2 linked regions of the Tamandua tetradactyla genome follow. The protein of the gene in region 1 interacts with the protein of each later gene in a biochemical or structural test. Links are inferred from orthologs where the notes say so. Each region holds a gene or a part of one and is shown in the gene's direction. Other genes may lie near its edges.

The links. The genes of interacting proteins can lie anywhere in the genome.
Region 2: the proteins of TRIM7 (region 1) and RNF187 interact in a test that uses a peptide from one of them, tested with the Homo sapiens proteins (2 studies listed by BioGRID, with this or other methods). The link is inferred for Tamandua tetradactyla from reciprocal best matches to the Homo sapiens genes TRIM7 and RNF187.

What each region holds. Positions count from the first base shown.
Region 1 is NC_135346.1:3,285,027-3,292,878, reverse strand, and holds the start of TRIM7 (E3 ubiquitin-protein ligase TRIM7), read left to right. Parts: upstream 1-4,762; 5' UTR 4,763-4,815; coding exon 4,816-5,319; intron 5,320-6,193; coding exon 6,194-6,289; intron 6,290-7,852. UniProt on the Homo sapiens protein: E3 ubiquitin-protein ligase that have both tumor-promoting and tumor-suppressing activities and functions in several biological processes including innate immunity, regulation of ferroptosis as well as cell proliferation and migration.
Region 2 is NC_135346.1:62,360,717-62,367,647, reverse strand, and holds the start of RNF187 (E3 ubiquitin-protein ligase RNF187), read left to right. Parts: upstream 1-3,904; coding exon 3,905-4,018; intron 4,019-6,931.

The sequences.
Region 1 (7,852 bases):
CATTTCAGAGTATTTTGGGCAGAAAATGAAAAAGTGTTTGCAAAGTCCCTTGAGGGACTGAGAAAAATAGAGGTATTAAACTTCCCTACCTGGGGAATTCCTGACATTTTCTTGTTGCTTCCTATGAAACGGAGCTCGAAGGATATTAAGGAATGACGAGAAAGAAAGAGAGAGACTGAAAGAAAGAAAGAGACAGATGGGATCGGGGGTCTGAAGCTTAACTTTTACAAACAACAGACAACTTTATTCTGAACCAGATCCTGCTTATATACTGCAGGGTAACAAAAGGCATGCCTGCATTTCCTGAGGAAACAAAGTACTTAACTTTCTTCATACTTAAGGTAACCATTTGGGGGTAAACAAGCATTCTGTTCCTCCAGACTGTTCCAAACAAAGCAGGTAACAATCTCCTCAGTTTCTTGCCTGCCCAGGGATGCCAGCTGCTCCCAACAAATTCTGCAGGTCTTGTTTTAACCCTTTGGCTCCTACATTTTCTTAAGCAAGAGGGGCTCCCAATTTAATAAACCAAGGCTCAGTTTTGAGACTTGCCCTTATGAAACTTATTTCTGTAATAGTAAACTGAACTTACATAGGATTGGTGCCCAAGAGTCATCTCCAGAAAAATCTCTTCTGTTGCTCAAATGTGCCTCTCTAAGCCAAACTCTGAGCTTCTCCCCAATGTGGGACATGATCTCCAGGATTGTAAGCCTGGCTCTGGCAGTGTGAGACACAATTGGCCCTGGCATCATGAGACATAAGTACCGAGGATGAGTCTGGCCCTGGCATCATGGATTAGTTGACCAAAAGGAATAAATAAATTGAGTTTCAATGGCTAAAAGATTTCAAATCAAGTTGAGAGGTCATTCTGGAGGTTACTTTTATGCAAGTTTCAGCCAGATATTGCGAACTGTCACAAGATGGCAAACCCCAACCAATAGTGTTCCTGGAAACCTTGAAAGATAGCCTATGCGCTATAAAATTTTACTTATTAAGTTTGTTTTTCAGAGACTTGAAACCTTCAGATTGTTCCAATGCCAGAGAAGCTCTGAAACCAAGAGATACTGGGCTCTCCAAGAATAACAACTGGTTTCATCAGTTCAACCCCTTGTCTCTTGATAACCCCCCCCCCCCATTTTCAGCCTTGAAGAAGTTAGAGAGTCATCACCAGGTATCCCTCAAGATTGAGAGATAATTATCAAATGAGACGGAGGAATTGTAACCAAGAAATTAGGATTTAAGGGATGATTTTGATTACGAATCATATTCCTTTTTTCTTTTTGGGATGTTGGAGTAGGCAGAGGGAATACCTGAAAGCCCTAAACTACAATTCAGCTGCCCTGATATCTGAAATGATTGTAAAAGCCCTTCTCTTGTGCCTTTATGGCTGTAAGAGCTATTATGCCCTTTATCTGGTCATTTTCTTGTAGGGCAAATGCCCTAATGCTAATGAAGTCAGCCACTGACTAGCCTCAGCCCCAGACATTTGCAAATTGTACCAGCTAGATTCTCCTATTGCAAGATAACTTGTCTCCCTTCCTTCGGGCTCACACCTTTAGTGATGAAGTAATATAGCTTTGCTTCCTTTCCTTTCAGCTTCTATTCTTCTATTGAAATGACCATCACACTCTCTCCTTTTCTCCTTTGAATTTGCTATTCAAATGACTTTATCTCCCCTTGCTAAAATGTTTAAAAACCTTGAACCCCCTAAACTTGGGGGGACAGATTTTGGGCCGCTAGATCATCTGCTGTCCTACTATGCACCTGTGTTAGTTAGATTCAGTTGTCAACTTGGCCAGGTGAGCATACCTAATCTTGTTGCTGCGGACATAAGCCAACGGTATGTGAACCTCATCTGTTGCCAATTACATCTGCAGTCGGCTAGGAGGCGTGTCTGCTGCAATGAGTGATGTTTGACTTAATTGGCTGGTGCTTAAATGAGAGATTCCCAACGTAGCACAGTTTAGCAGCTTGGCATTCCTCATCTCAGCACTTGCAGCTCAGCCCAGGCCCTTGGAGATGGAGGAAGAAATCACCCCGGGTAAAGTTGTTGGAACCCAGGGGCCTGGAGAGAAGACCAGCAGAGACCATCCTGTGCCTTCCACGTAAGAAAGAACCTCAGTGGAAAGTTAGCTGCCTTTCCTCTGAAGAACCAACAAAAATAAATCCCCTTTTATTAAAAGCCAATCCGTCTCTGGTGTGTTGCATTCCAGCAGCTAGCAAACTAGAACAGCACCTAGTAATAAATTCTTTATCTCGTAGAAAAAACAAATGAACAGAGAAAAAAACAAAACAGTGTAGCCAGGCAGGCTTCATTGAAAAGGTGACATTTAAGCCAAGACTTTGAAGAGGTGGAAAGAGAGCCAGGCTAGAATCTAGGGGAGGAGAGGTCCAAGCAAAGGGAGCAGCCAGTGTAAAGGCTCTGAGATAGAAATCCTTCTGATATGATGTGGTAGGGAAAGCAAGGAGGCCCGTGTGTTGGAGTGGAGTCAGCAGTGGCGTGAGTAGGACATGAGAGCAGAGAACAGGACAGTGACGGGTGTAGGGCGTCAGGGAACCAGAATGGGGAGCTGTAAGGACTAAGGGAGGTGGGGACCATTAGAGAGTCCGAGCAGAGGGCCATAATCTGACCTAACAATTGAACAGGATTTTCTGGCTGCTAAGTGGAGAAGACAAGGGATGGTGGCCAGGCACAAGGGGAGAGAATTGTGATTATCGTATGTGATGCAGTGGAGACGGAGAGTGGTGAGGAATTGGGGAGGTGCTGTGGGCTGGGCATGGGGTGTGAGCAAAAGAACAGTCAGAGACAATTCCAGGATTTTGGCCTGTGCACCTGGTGGGGTGGAGTTGCCTTAAATGGGGTGGGGAAGGCTTTGGGAGGAGCAAGTTTGGGGGCCAATCAGAAGTAGTTTGGATTCAGCCCCTTAGAAGAAACAGGTGGGGGTTGAATGTGCGAGCCAGATGTTCGAGGGGGGCTTGGAGGTTACTGTAGAATCATCAGTAAGGAGGTGGTCTTTCAAGCCCAAAAGTGGGAGAGCCTCCCCAATGTGGAAATGACTCCCAGGCATGTAAATCTCCCTGGCAACGTGGGACAGGACTCCCGGGATGAGCTGGGACCCGGAATCATGGGACTGAGAAAGCCTTCTTGACCAAAAAGGGGAAGAGAAAAATGAGACAAAATAAAGTCTCAGTGGCTGAGAGATTTCAGACAGAGGCAAGAGGTTATCCTGGAGGGTATTCTTATGCGTTATATAGATATCCCTTTTTAGTTTATGATGCATCGGAGGGGCACCTGAAACCATTGAACTGTGTTCCAGCAGCTTTGACTTTGAAGACAATTATATAACTATATAGCTTTTACAATTTGGAATTGTGAAACCTTGTGGCTGATACTCCATTTATCCAGGGTATGGACATATATGTAAAAAAAATAAGGACAGTAAATAAATAATAGGGGAAGATGGGGTAAAAATTTGGGTGGATTGCAATACTAGTGGTCAATGAGAAGGACGGGCAAGGGGTATGGGATGTACGAGTTTTTTCTCTTTATTTCTTTTTCTGGAGTGATACAAATGCACTCGTGATGCTGAATACGCAACTATATGATGTTTTGTGAGCCACTGGCCATATATTATGGATGAACTGCACATGTGTGAAGATATCTTAATAAATATATATATACATATACAGAATGTGTATATAGATACACACACACACACACACTTGAAGCACATAAATATTTACATGTAAATTTAAAGTGTGTGTGTGTGTATCTATATACACATTCTGTATATGTGTGTATATATATATATATATGTAAAGTGGGAGAGGCCACAGGGAGTGAGTTGGGGAGTCCGGGGACGGACTGGGGGTCAGGAAAGGAGAAGGAAACCTCAAAGGAGTCAGAGAAGGGGGGCGACGCAGTGAGCTGGGAGAAGAGCCAGGCGCGCAGAGAAAGGCCATCGAAGTTGAGCGATCAGAGCACAGGTGAGGCGAGGCCTGAGAACGAACCTAGGATATAGGCTCGTGGAGGCCACCGGTGACCTTGATGAGAATGGTTTCCGAGGAGGGTGGGGCGAAAGCCGGGCCCGAGTGCCCTCCAGAGTGACCGAAGCGAGAGGACAGAGAGCATATGACACCGGCAGCTCCGGAGCCGGAGCGGGGCTGTGGAACCGAGCAGGGGGCGCACGAGGGGGTGGATTGGGGTGTGGGTGGGGAGGACGTGACACTTAAGAAAGTGGGAAAATTTCTTGTAAATGCAATACTTGTTCCAAACCAAAATAAAAATAAGCGGGGTGGAGGTATGTGTCGCTGGACAGAAGGCCAGGCCTGGGGCTTGGGGGGTTGGGGGTGGGGCCCAGAGCCAGGTTTCCGCCCTAAATTTAGCTTCGCTCGGGGTTAGGGCCTGCCTCCGGCCTGCGCCCCGGGAACCTGACACCGCGGCCCGGAGCCGGGCCCTTGCCCCGACGGTGTCGGGTCACCCTCGGGAGGCGGCCGGGAGCGGCGCCCAGTGGGATTCGCGCGCCCACCTGTCGCGGCCCGTTTCCCGGGGCTGACGGGGTCAGGCTGGAGCGTCGGGGGGAGACCCAGGTGGCGGGCGCACGGCACCGTCCGCCTTTCAAATCCCCTCGCCCTTCCCATCTCGCCAGTCTCCAGCGCGCACCCTCCCCGCGGGGCTCCCGGGCGGACGCGCCCCGGGCTCACGGCTCCGCCTTCCGGGTCTCGGCTCCGCCTTTCCGGCCTCGGCTCCGCCCTTCCTCTCCGAGTAGGCGCTAGGAGGCCGGCCCGCTCCCGGGGCCGTGTGTGCGGAGCGCACGTATGGCGGCCGTGGGACCCCGGACAGGCCCGGGGGCCGGGGCCGAGGCGCTGGCGCTGGCTGCAGAGCTGCAGGGCGAGGCGACGTGCTCCATCTGCCTGGAGCTCTTCCGGGAGCCCGTGTCTGTCGAGTGTGGCCACAGCTTCTGCCGCGCGTGCATCTCGCGCTGCTGGGAGCGCCCGGCTTCCGGGGCCCCCGCCGCGCCCCCTGCCCGGTCCAGCCCTCTTCCCTGCCCGCAGTGCCGCGAGCCGACGCGCCCGGACCACCTGCGGCCCAACCGGCAGCTGGCCGCCGTGGCCGCGCTGCTGCGGCGATTCAGCCTGCCCGCGGCCGCCGGCGGGGAGCGCGGACGGCGGGAGGCGGCGGCCAGCTGCGGGCTGCACGGAGAGCCGCTCAAGCTCTTTTGCCAGGACGACGGGCGCGCCATTTGCGTGGTGTGCGACCGTGCCCGCGAGCACCGCTCACACGCGGTGCTGCCACTGGACGAGGCGGTGCAAGAGGCCAAGGTGAGAATCCGGTCATACCTCGCCTGTCCCCGCGACCCTTGGGCTCTGAGCCTACCAGCCCGCACACCCGGTGCATCCCACTCGCAGGCAGGCAGGCAGGGGCGCTGGTGAGTCCCTGCCCCCTTTCTCCTATCCGCCGCCGCCCAGCGCTGCCTCCGGGGCGGAAGGCGGTTCTCCTGTCAGCACCACACCACCAACACGCACACACACGCACGCACACGCGCGCCCGCATTTCCCTCTGGTTCCCATGCTGGATCGCCTGCGTGACGCCCCCACGGACCTTGCGATTTTCTTCCTCTCGGTTCCGGGCCTCTAGCGGCCTCTCGGTTATTGCAGCTCTTGGCTCAGGAGAAACCCCGTCACACCCACACGTCCCCTGACCCCACTCAGCTTCGTCTCCCGGGCGTGGCCTTGCTCAGTGTCCCCCCTCCCCTCCGGGACCTGGTGGAGCGACCTCCACGAGGCCGAGGGGGCAAGAGCCGGATTCCTGACCCGCGTGAGGAGTTCGCTGAAGCCATCCCCATGGCCCCTTGCGGCCTCCTTGCTGGGGCCGCGGCCCGGCAGTGTGTGGAGGCCTCGGGCGCTCTGTGCTTGCTCTCCCACCATGCTCAACCCTTCCATCCAAAGGGGAGCAGAGACGACGCGGGCTGCGCCGGAGGGGGGCTTGTGTTTCAGCCTGCAGTGTGCAGCTGGTGACCTGGAGGAAGTGAGACCCCAGGGCCTTTGGAGTTACCCTGGGTGTGCTGCATCCTTCCCGATATCCAGTGGAGGCTGCCACCAGCCTCCTCAATGAGCAAGGACTTCCTGGATGGCTCCAGAAAGCGACTTCCCAGACTCCTTGCCCCTCTCCTTCTCACTTCTCTCTCTTCTGCAGGAGCTCCTGGAGGCCAGGCTGAGGGTCCTGAAGAAGGAGCTGGAGGAGTATGAGATGTTCAGGTCCACAGAGGAAAAGGAGAGCAGGGAGCTCCTGGTGAGCTGGTCACCCCAGCTGGACCCCAGTGGGGGACAACAGCAGAGTTGCCCCCACCCCCACCCCCGGCTCTGGGTGTGGTGTTGGAATGCATGGATTTTAGAAAGTTAATCTGGTGCATATTATATAGAGTGACATTATAATTCATTCTGCAATCCGGGGCTTTGGAGAGTGAAAGGGTGTACTAAAGTAATCAGTCTAGAACAACTGGTATAAAAGTCAAATTGCCTGTGAATCAGGATGTACGGTCACCCTAACGTTATGTAACTCCCCAATTGGGGCGTGGGGCAGCATGTTGCAGTTTAACACAGTAATATTTCGGCACAGAAGTATATGAATATTCTTACTAAGTAGGAGCATACTTATAATAAATAGCCTCATATCAGTTCAGTGCATGTTTTACTACCAAATGCGTTATGGAAAAAAAATCAATTTTCAGAGTGTTTTAGATTTTGGAATTGTTTTGGTTTGTTAAATGCTGCAGGAATGCAATATACCAGAAATGGGTTGGCTTTTATAAAAGGAATTTATTAGGTTACACGTTTACATAAGGCCATAAAAATGTCCAAACTAAGGCATCCAGATAAAGATAACCTTGACTCAAGAAAGGGCGGATGATGTTCTGGGTTCTCTGTCAGCTGGAAAGGCAAGTGGCCACATCTGCTAGCTTTCTCTCCTGGCTTCTCACTCCATAAACCTTCCTGGGGCATTTTCTTTCTGCAGCTCCAAAGATTTCTTCTCTGGTCAGCTCTGAACCTTTTTCCAAAATGGCTCACTCTTAAGGGTTCCGGTAAGCGTATTATAACCCACCTTGAATGGGTGGAGATGCATCTCCATGGAAACCATCTAATCAAAGGGTCACATCTCTATGGAAACAACTTAATAAAAAAGATCCCACCCAACAATATTGAATCAGGATTAAAGAGCATGGCTTTTCTGGAGTACACCATAGTTTCAAACTGGCACACTGACTCTTATTTGTCTACTTCAAATTCTGTTCCTCGCTCAATTTGTAGGTGTTGAATGAATGTCTCCACTAGAGCTGGTCAGTGTGGGGCTTTCTGTTCTGGAGCTGGAACTTAGAGGAGGAGTAACTTGAGGACCCTCCTTTCCTCAAGGTGGAAGTGGAGGGGACAGGGGGAGGACTCTCTAGTTGAGATGCCCCCGGTTCCTTTCCTGCCCCCAAATGCATCCAGTGTGCCTCTCAGAACTCCCAGTTTATTCATCCACTTCCCTCCACCAGGAAGAGCTCACACCTCCTCACCCTTATTCCTTTCCTGCTGGAGAAGGGGGTAAGCAAGTCTCTTCAGAAGCTGCTGTTTTACATCCAGGACCCAAGGGGCCTCCCTGCAGCATGGGCAGCTTCTCAGTCACTGTCAGGACCCCATGACTCTGCTTAGCAACTTCCACCGCTGCCCTCTCCCAACGTCCAGCTTCCCACTTCCACTTGTGGCCCATACATCATCATTACAAAAGACTGTTTGATGAAACCACAGAAGTAGAGCCTAACTTTTGCTGCATGTTTACAAGGGGAATGAGTTCTTGTATTTGGAATTTCTCTTA
Region 2 (6,931 bases), about 59 Mb from region 1:
TTAGGTGACTAGGAAGATTGAAAGGAATCCCATGTGTGTGGAAACTGTCTGCAGTGATAAAGCACTGTACGTATCAGGGCACTGTTATCTGGTAACAAACATTTTTGTAAACAGAATATTCATCTCAGACATCTGTGGTAAAGACTCTGTGACTGAGGGAACTTGAGTATCAGGCAGGACATAGTTAAATCACAGGACCATCTGCATAATCTGCTGAGCTCAGTGCAGAATGAAAATGTGGGGGGCTTTTGTTCTAAGACCATTAAGAATCTCAAGATAATGTTAGGAGGGTATTAAAGCAACATGGACCCTTCTCAGTGCAGGGCCCTAAGAAGCTGCACAGATCCTGGCTCTGCATGCCCCTTAGCCAGCAGACCTTATTAAGGATGAATGCTTTCCATGGGTTTGTGCACTGACAGTTCCTTCACCCCTGCCCTGCCCTGCCCCTGTCATTTTTAAAAGCTGGGTCCTTTTGATTGGGTCTATGCTGAGATTTCTTGGCTTACTTCTGCTTTAGTGAAGGTTTGAAGCAAAACTTAGAGTGAAATTTTCCAAGAATGAGTTTGGGGGAAGATATTGTCTTTTCGATGAAGGGACTAAGATTTAAGAATTGTTCTGCCTGAACCTAGTGGCTGATTAGTTTCAGAAAACCAGGATAACAATCTCATGGGTTGTCTTGGGACCATAGCCAATGTGATATTGGCAGATGAAACATTATAGGGTAAACTTGAACTTTCCTCAAAGAAAATAAGAAAAGGGAAAGAAAGAAGGCAGGAAGAAAGAAAAAAAGGGGGGGGAATGAAAGGAGGAAGTGAGGGGAAGGAGGAGAGAGAGAGAGAGAGAGAGAGAGAGAGAGAGAGAGAGAGAGAGAGAGAGAGAGAGCGCGAGAGAGAGAGAGAGAGAGAGAGAGAGAGAGAGAGAGAGAGAGAGAGAGAGAAAGGAAGGAAGGAATAAAGAAAGGAAGGAAGGGGAAAAAAGGAAGGAAGGAAGGGAGAAAGAAAGAAAAGAAAAGGTCAAACAACAAAACAAATCAAACAACAGAACAAATCCAGACTTAGTAAAGAGAGACTATATTCAAGAGGATTATTGCAAAGTGGGAAAGAGATTATTAAAATAGAGGAGAACTATCACAATAGGGAGAATGCTCTGATCATAACATAGTAGGCTAAAACGAGTTTTCTTTTATAGGGAGAAAAGAACCAGGTATAAGAAGTGGGATGAAGGTTGGCATAATCAAATAGTAGATCTGAGAATATTTTATGCTGAAGCAGCCTATTTTCTGGGAGGGACCATTAAAGTTCAAGAGGGAAGGAGAGAAATTTAAGCAATGTTTGGTTAATAAGTATTTTGTTGCAATTGATTAGCAGGGAACCAGCAGTCCAGCTAATTATTGATGAGGCAAAGGAAGGGAATGTGGAGGGTCTGTGTCCAGCCTTGTCATAGGTAAACAAGGGGACATTCTGAGTCTTATCTAAGTCATATGGGGGAAGGGTGTTTTTTTTTTTCACGTTGTCCTTGTTGTTTTTGGTAAAAAAAAAGTTTTCCAGAATACAAAGGATGGTGGAATTTCTTAAACTTTGCTCCTTTCCAGAAATAAAGGCCTTGAGTAAGGTTCAACATTGCCAAACAGAAAAGGAGAGAAAGGGAAGGGAAGGGGAGGGGTAGAAAGGGGAGGAGAAGAGGGGAGGAAAGGGGAGGGAAGGGGGGGGGAACAATGGCTTCCAGTCTAGCCAGTAAGACAGACAGGCTTGCTTGAGAGTAAATGGTCTGGAAGACCAATTTTGAAAGGAGTTTTGCTGATAAAAATCATAGACACCTACTTTTCTTTTTTAATGGTTCCATAGTCCAGTGCCTGGTGTTAATGCTGATTCAATAAATGTGTTGAATGAATAATGCATGCAGGAAATGAACAAATGTTATCATCCAGGATATTTGTGCAGTGAAGGGGTACAGCCTCCGAACACGTGGAATAGGCCATGACTTCTTCCCACCCTCAACCAAGAGAAAACCACTTTAAAATTCTCACAAGCATACGTACATGGCACCTTGAAAGCATTGCAATGGCAAACAAATGGCAGATGGGTTTTACCTTCCAAGAGAGTGCTGATTTTGTACTGCAATACCTAAAGTAAAACATGCTAAACATATCTAGAGTCTGCCCAGAGGGTTCTCTTCGAGTCAGCCACCGCAAATATAGAAAGGGCATGTTTAAAGGCTTACTAAGAGTTTTAACATTTCGGGGTTTAAGAGCTGAAAGAAGGCTGATGGACCACATTACATGGGATGCTGTGGCATTTTGCATAGAACATGTGAAATACACTAAATGTATGCTCACATCCTCCCGAAAAAGGTCGAAGTGTTTCTAAGCTAGTCAGCGGAAGGTCACCAGGGAGATGTGTTGCAGAAAACTGGCCTTCCCAGCTTCAGTTAGGCTTCTCCAGGGACATCCCCAAGTTGTCCGAGTTTGGGGGCTGAGCCCTCCTCTCTCCTAAAGGCAAGGCTTTCTGCTGGGAAGAAATGCGGGGCTGGGGGTGGGAGCTCCTCAACTGAGAGGGGGCAGGGCAGAACTGGACAAAGGCACAGTGCTTGTTCAGAAAAGCCCACATTCTGGTCAAAGAAGGGTCACACTGGGGCCGTTTCAAGGGTTCTCCTGTCCTGGGCCTTTTCGCATGAGCCGTGATCGCAAGAAATTGCTTCTGGGCCTATTGACATTTTATTTTGATAAGTCGGTAATAAGCGCTGCGATCAAATTCAAGCTGCAGGTGTGAATAAAGGACAGCAAGTAATATAGAAGGGCAAAAAAACAAATTTGTGAAAAAGTGAGCAAAATAACGAATACTCGAGCCTGCGAAATGCGCAAACTCGAGTGTCAATCTCAGAACGTTAGGCAGAGATTAATGACTTCATAGAAGCTAAATTCTTCCCGATTTTGGTCTTTGGCATCGGCAAGCACACTCACAGGTGCATGCACTCTTAGGGCTAAATTATCCTTTCCTGGGATTTTCCCCGCTGCATGTGATGGATTACAGGTGCATTCAAAGCAGCGATCTAGTGTCTGGAGAAAGGTTCTCCTCCCTCCTGAACTGACATCAGGGTCACTGGTTTCCTCCGCTAACCTCGCAAAGCCGCTTCTGGCTCAAAAGTTTTTCAGAGGAAGCGCCCCCCACCCCCCCGCAACCTTATATATTTCTCTTACTTCGTATCCATAATAGTTATTAAAATAATTTAAGGGTTGTTGAAAGTGAATTTAGAGGCTTCACACAGTATTTGGAAGAGATATGGATACTAGTCAACACATATCACGAAACTTGAAGCGTCTATGAAAAGAATTCCTATATTTTCAGGATATTTTAGGTTTTTCAGGAGAGAAGAAGACAGCCCTTGAAGAGAGGGCGGCGGGTGCGCACAGCAGCCTGCCCAGGCACCCACCGGGGGCAGACATCACCACAGGCCAGCCCCTGCCTCCCCCAAGGCATCGCATGATTACTAGAGAATCACGATGATATGCAAGGACATGGAAGAAAACATGAAGGCACGGACGTGAATGAAATACAAATAAATGAACAACTAAGGGGAAAGGAGCGAAGGCGGTCAAAAAAAAAAAGGAGGAGGAATCGGAGTCGGGAGGATTGAATTTCGAGCCAATCAAGATCGGCCTATTTGGGTACATGCAGGAGACGCCTCCTGCTCCGCGGGCCTCTGCAGGTAGCGTGGGTGGCGCCGCTGTCCCGAGCATCCTGCATCCTGGCGCTCCCACCTCCCTGAGCCCCCAGACTCCCGTGCGCTTCGGCTCCGCAAGCCCGGCCGCCGTCCCGGGTGCCCATCCCAAGACGTCACCCGAGACCCAAAGCCGAGCCCGGCCCGGCGCGGTTCCTCGTATGCGCCCTCACCGCTAGGCGCCCGCATGCCGGAGAACACATGTCCCGGGATCCGCTTCCGCGGGAGGGGGCTGGAGCTGGCGACCCGGGCCCCAGGACTAGAAATCACCGCCCTTTCAGACCCCCACTGTCTTTGGTTGGTACTTTAGAATTTGGGGACAGGTGGAGCTTTTCCAACACGTTCTGTCTGGTTTCCGATTTGAAATTCCAGATTCCTGAATGAATTGCCCTAACTAGTTCACCTTTGGGCCTCCAGGTCCTTCCCCTGACGGAGGAGGTCTTGGTCTGCCTTTGTCCACTACCCTAAAAGATTAGCTGGATTCCTGATTAGACACACTCGGCCTGCTCTTTGTCTACTATACATATATGTTTTAATCTGTAGTGTCAGATTTTGTGCCGTGTCTTCCAGAGTCACCTCTACAGAAGAATTTTCACAATATTTCATACGCCAGAACAAATTCTAGCATTTAGTTAAAAAAATCTCTTTAAACAAGTAACAAATTCCTGTCATTTCTCGCGTATAGGAATAGGCTCAATGAGTTATTTTGCAGCAGGGCTGGGACTACAGTGTGGAGCTGGGGTGGTGTGTTTGGTTTTATATTTTAAACTTTATGCATCTGCCCACAAGTACCTGAGTCAGTCCAAACGTGTATGCAAACTACACATTTTATTGGTCAGTTAGCTCCTGATATAAGGAGGAAATTTAAGGAACTGGCCTCTGGGTCAGAAGCCCCTATGATCTCATAAACACTGCTTTTCTGTTTTTAATAAAAAGGACGGGGCTGCAGAGGAAGGTAAGGTAAGGTAAGGAAAGACAGGGACAGAGCTCAGCTCACAGTGTTTGCTGTGCATGGCCAACAGCTGCCTTGGGGCCACTTGGGGAAGAAGCCAGCCCGATCCTGCTACAAGTGTGGAAAGATGGAGGGTTGGAAATACAAGTGTCCTCAGGGATACCAAGAGCCCCTGGGGCCTTGCCTTAGGTGTAGGAAAGCCGGACACTGGGCCCAGGGGTGCACTGAGTCCCAGAGGGAAATAGAGACCCTCCTGAAAGCTTTTGTGACTGCTCCCAAGCAAGATTGAGGAGGCCTGGGCCACTAGTGGCTCCCTGGACTTCACTGAAAAACATCAATTGCGATGAGTCTTGAGTGACCTTCAATGTGGCAGGTAAGGCAATTGATTTTTTTTAATTGATATTGGAGCCACTTATTCTGGTTTGACCGGTTACTCAGCCCCAATGTCCCCGTGAGTCTGTCCTATTGTAAAAGCCAAAGTCTAAAGCCAAAACCGTCACCCAGCCCCTTCTTTGTCAAATTGGCAGCATAATTTTGAATCATCAGTTCTTGGTGGTACCAGCGTGTCCTAGCCCACTTCTAGGAAGAGACTTGCAATGGGCATCGGGTGCACAAATCCGGCTAATAGGCTGCTGGCCTACCCAATGTCTTAAGGATGCTTCAGAGGTGTCTGTAACTGTATGTCCAGCTTTAGCTGGATCCAGAAACCCAGACAGTCTCACCCTGAACTGGCTAATGAAGTCAGTCCAGTGGTATGGGAAACAGAAATATCCAGAAACGCTACTCACATCTCTCCGATCCTAATCAATTGACAGGATCAACCCTTTCCCAAGAGAAAGCAGTACCCTCTTAAAACTGAAGATATAATGGGTATCTAACCCCTTACCCAGAAGTTCCTGAAAACTGGCCTTCTAGTCACTTGTCAGTCTCCCTGTGATACCCTACCCTGCCTGTCAAAAAGCCACATGGGACGTATGAGTTGGTACAGGACCTCAGACCTGTGAATAGCTTTGCCATTCCCCCTTCATCCTCTAGTTTCCAACCCTTATACTCTTCTTAACAAAATTCCTATCTCTGCCCTAAGATACTTAGTACTCGATTTAAAATATGCCTTCTTCTGTATGTCTTTAGACCCAAACTCCCAATTTTTGTCTGCCTCTGAACGGCAGGGTTACTGGTTTGAAGATGTTATATACCCCAGAAAAGCCATGTTCTCTTTCCTAATCCAATCTTGTGGGGGCAGACCTACCACTTAGGGTGGAAAGTTTGATTGGATTATTTTCGTAGAGATGTGCTGTGCTCAGTTGGGGTGTGACTTTTCTTTTTGTGGTGTGACATTTTGATTAGGTTGTTTCCATGGAGATGTGACACACAAGTGTGGCTCGGATTTTTTTATTAGGTGGAGATGTGATTTCACCCACTCAAAGTTAGTCTTTTTTTTTTAATTGCTAATTATTTTTTGTTTATTTATTCAGTGAAATTTTTAAACAATTTTTATTATGAAATATAACATATATACAAAAAAGCAATAAATATTCAAAGTACATTGTAACAAATAGTTGTAGACCAAATTTTAGTTTGGTATGGGTTTCTGTTCCACAATTTTATGTTTTTCCTTCTAGCTGCTCCAAGAAACTGGAGACTAAAAAAATATAAATATCATGATTCAGCAGTGATACTCATTTGTTAAGTCCTACCTTCTCTGTATAACTCCACCATCACCTTTAATCTTTCTCCCACTCTTTAGGGGTATTTGGGCTATGCCCATTCTAACTTTTTCATGTTGGAAGGGGGTATTGGTAGTATAGGAAAGGGAGATGGAACTAGTTAATGTTCTGGAGAGGCTGACCCCTCTGCATTTCAGACTCGCATGGTCTGAGTACTCATCTGGAGGTTGTAGATTTCTTGCAAGTTACCCTAGTGCATGGAACCTTTGTAGAACCTTATATAATGGCGAAGGTGTTCTTTAGGATTGGCAGGAATGGCTTTGGTTGGGGGGTTGGCAAGTTATTACAGGTAGCAATGTTTAACTGAAGTGTGCATAAGAGTGACCTCCAGAGTAGCCTCTCGATTCTATTTGAACTCTCTCAGCCACTGATACCTTATTTGAAACACTTCTTTCCCCACTTTTGGTCAGAATGGCATTGTTGATCCCACGGTACCAGGGCCAGACATCCCTGGGAATCATCTCCCACACTGCAGGGAGAATTTCACCCATAAATGTTGTGTCCCTTGTAGGAGGGAGGGCAATGAATTCATTTG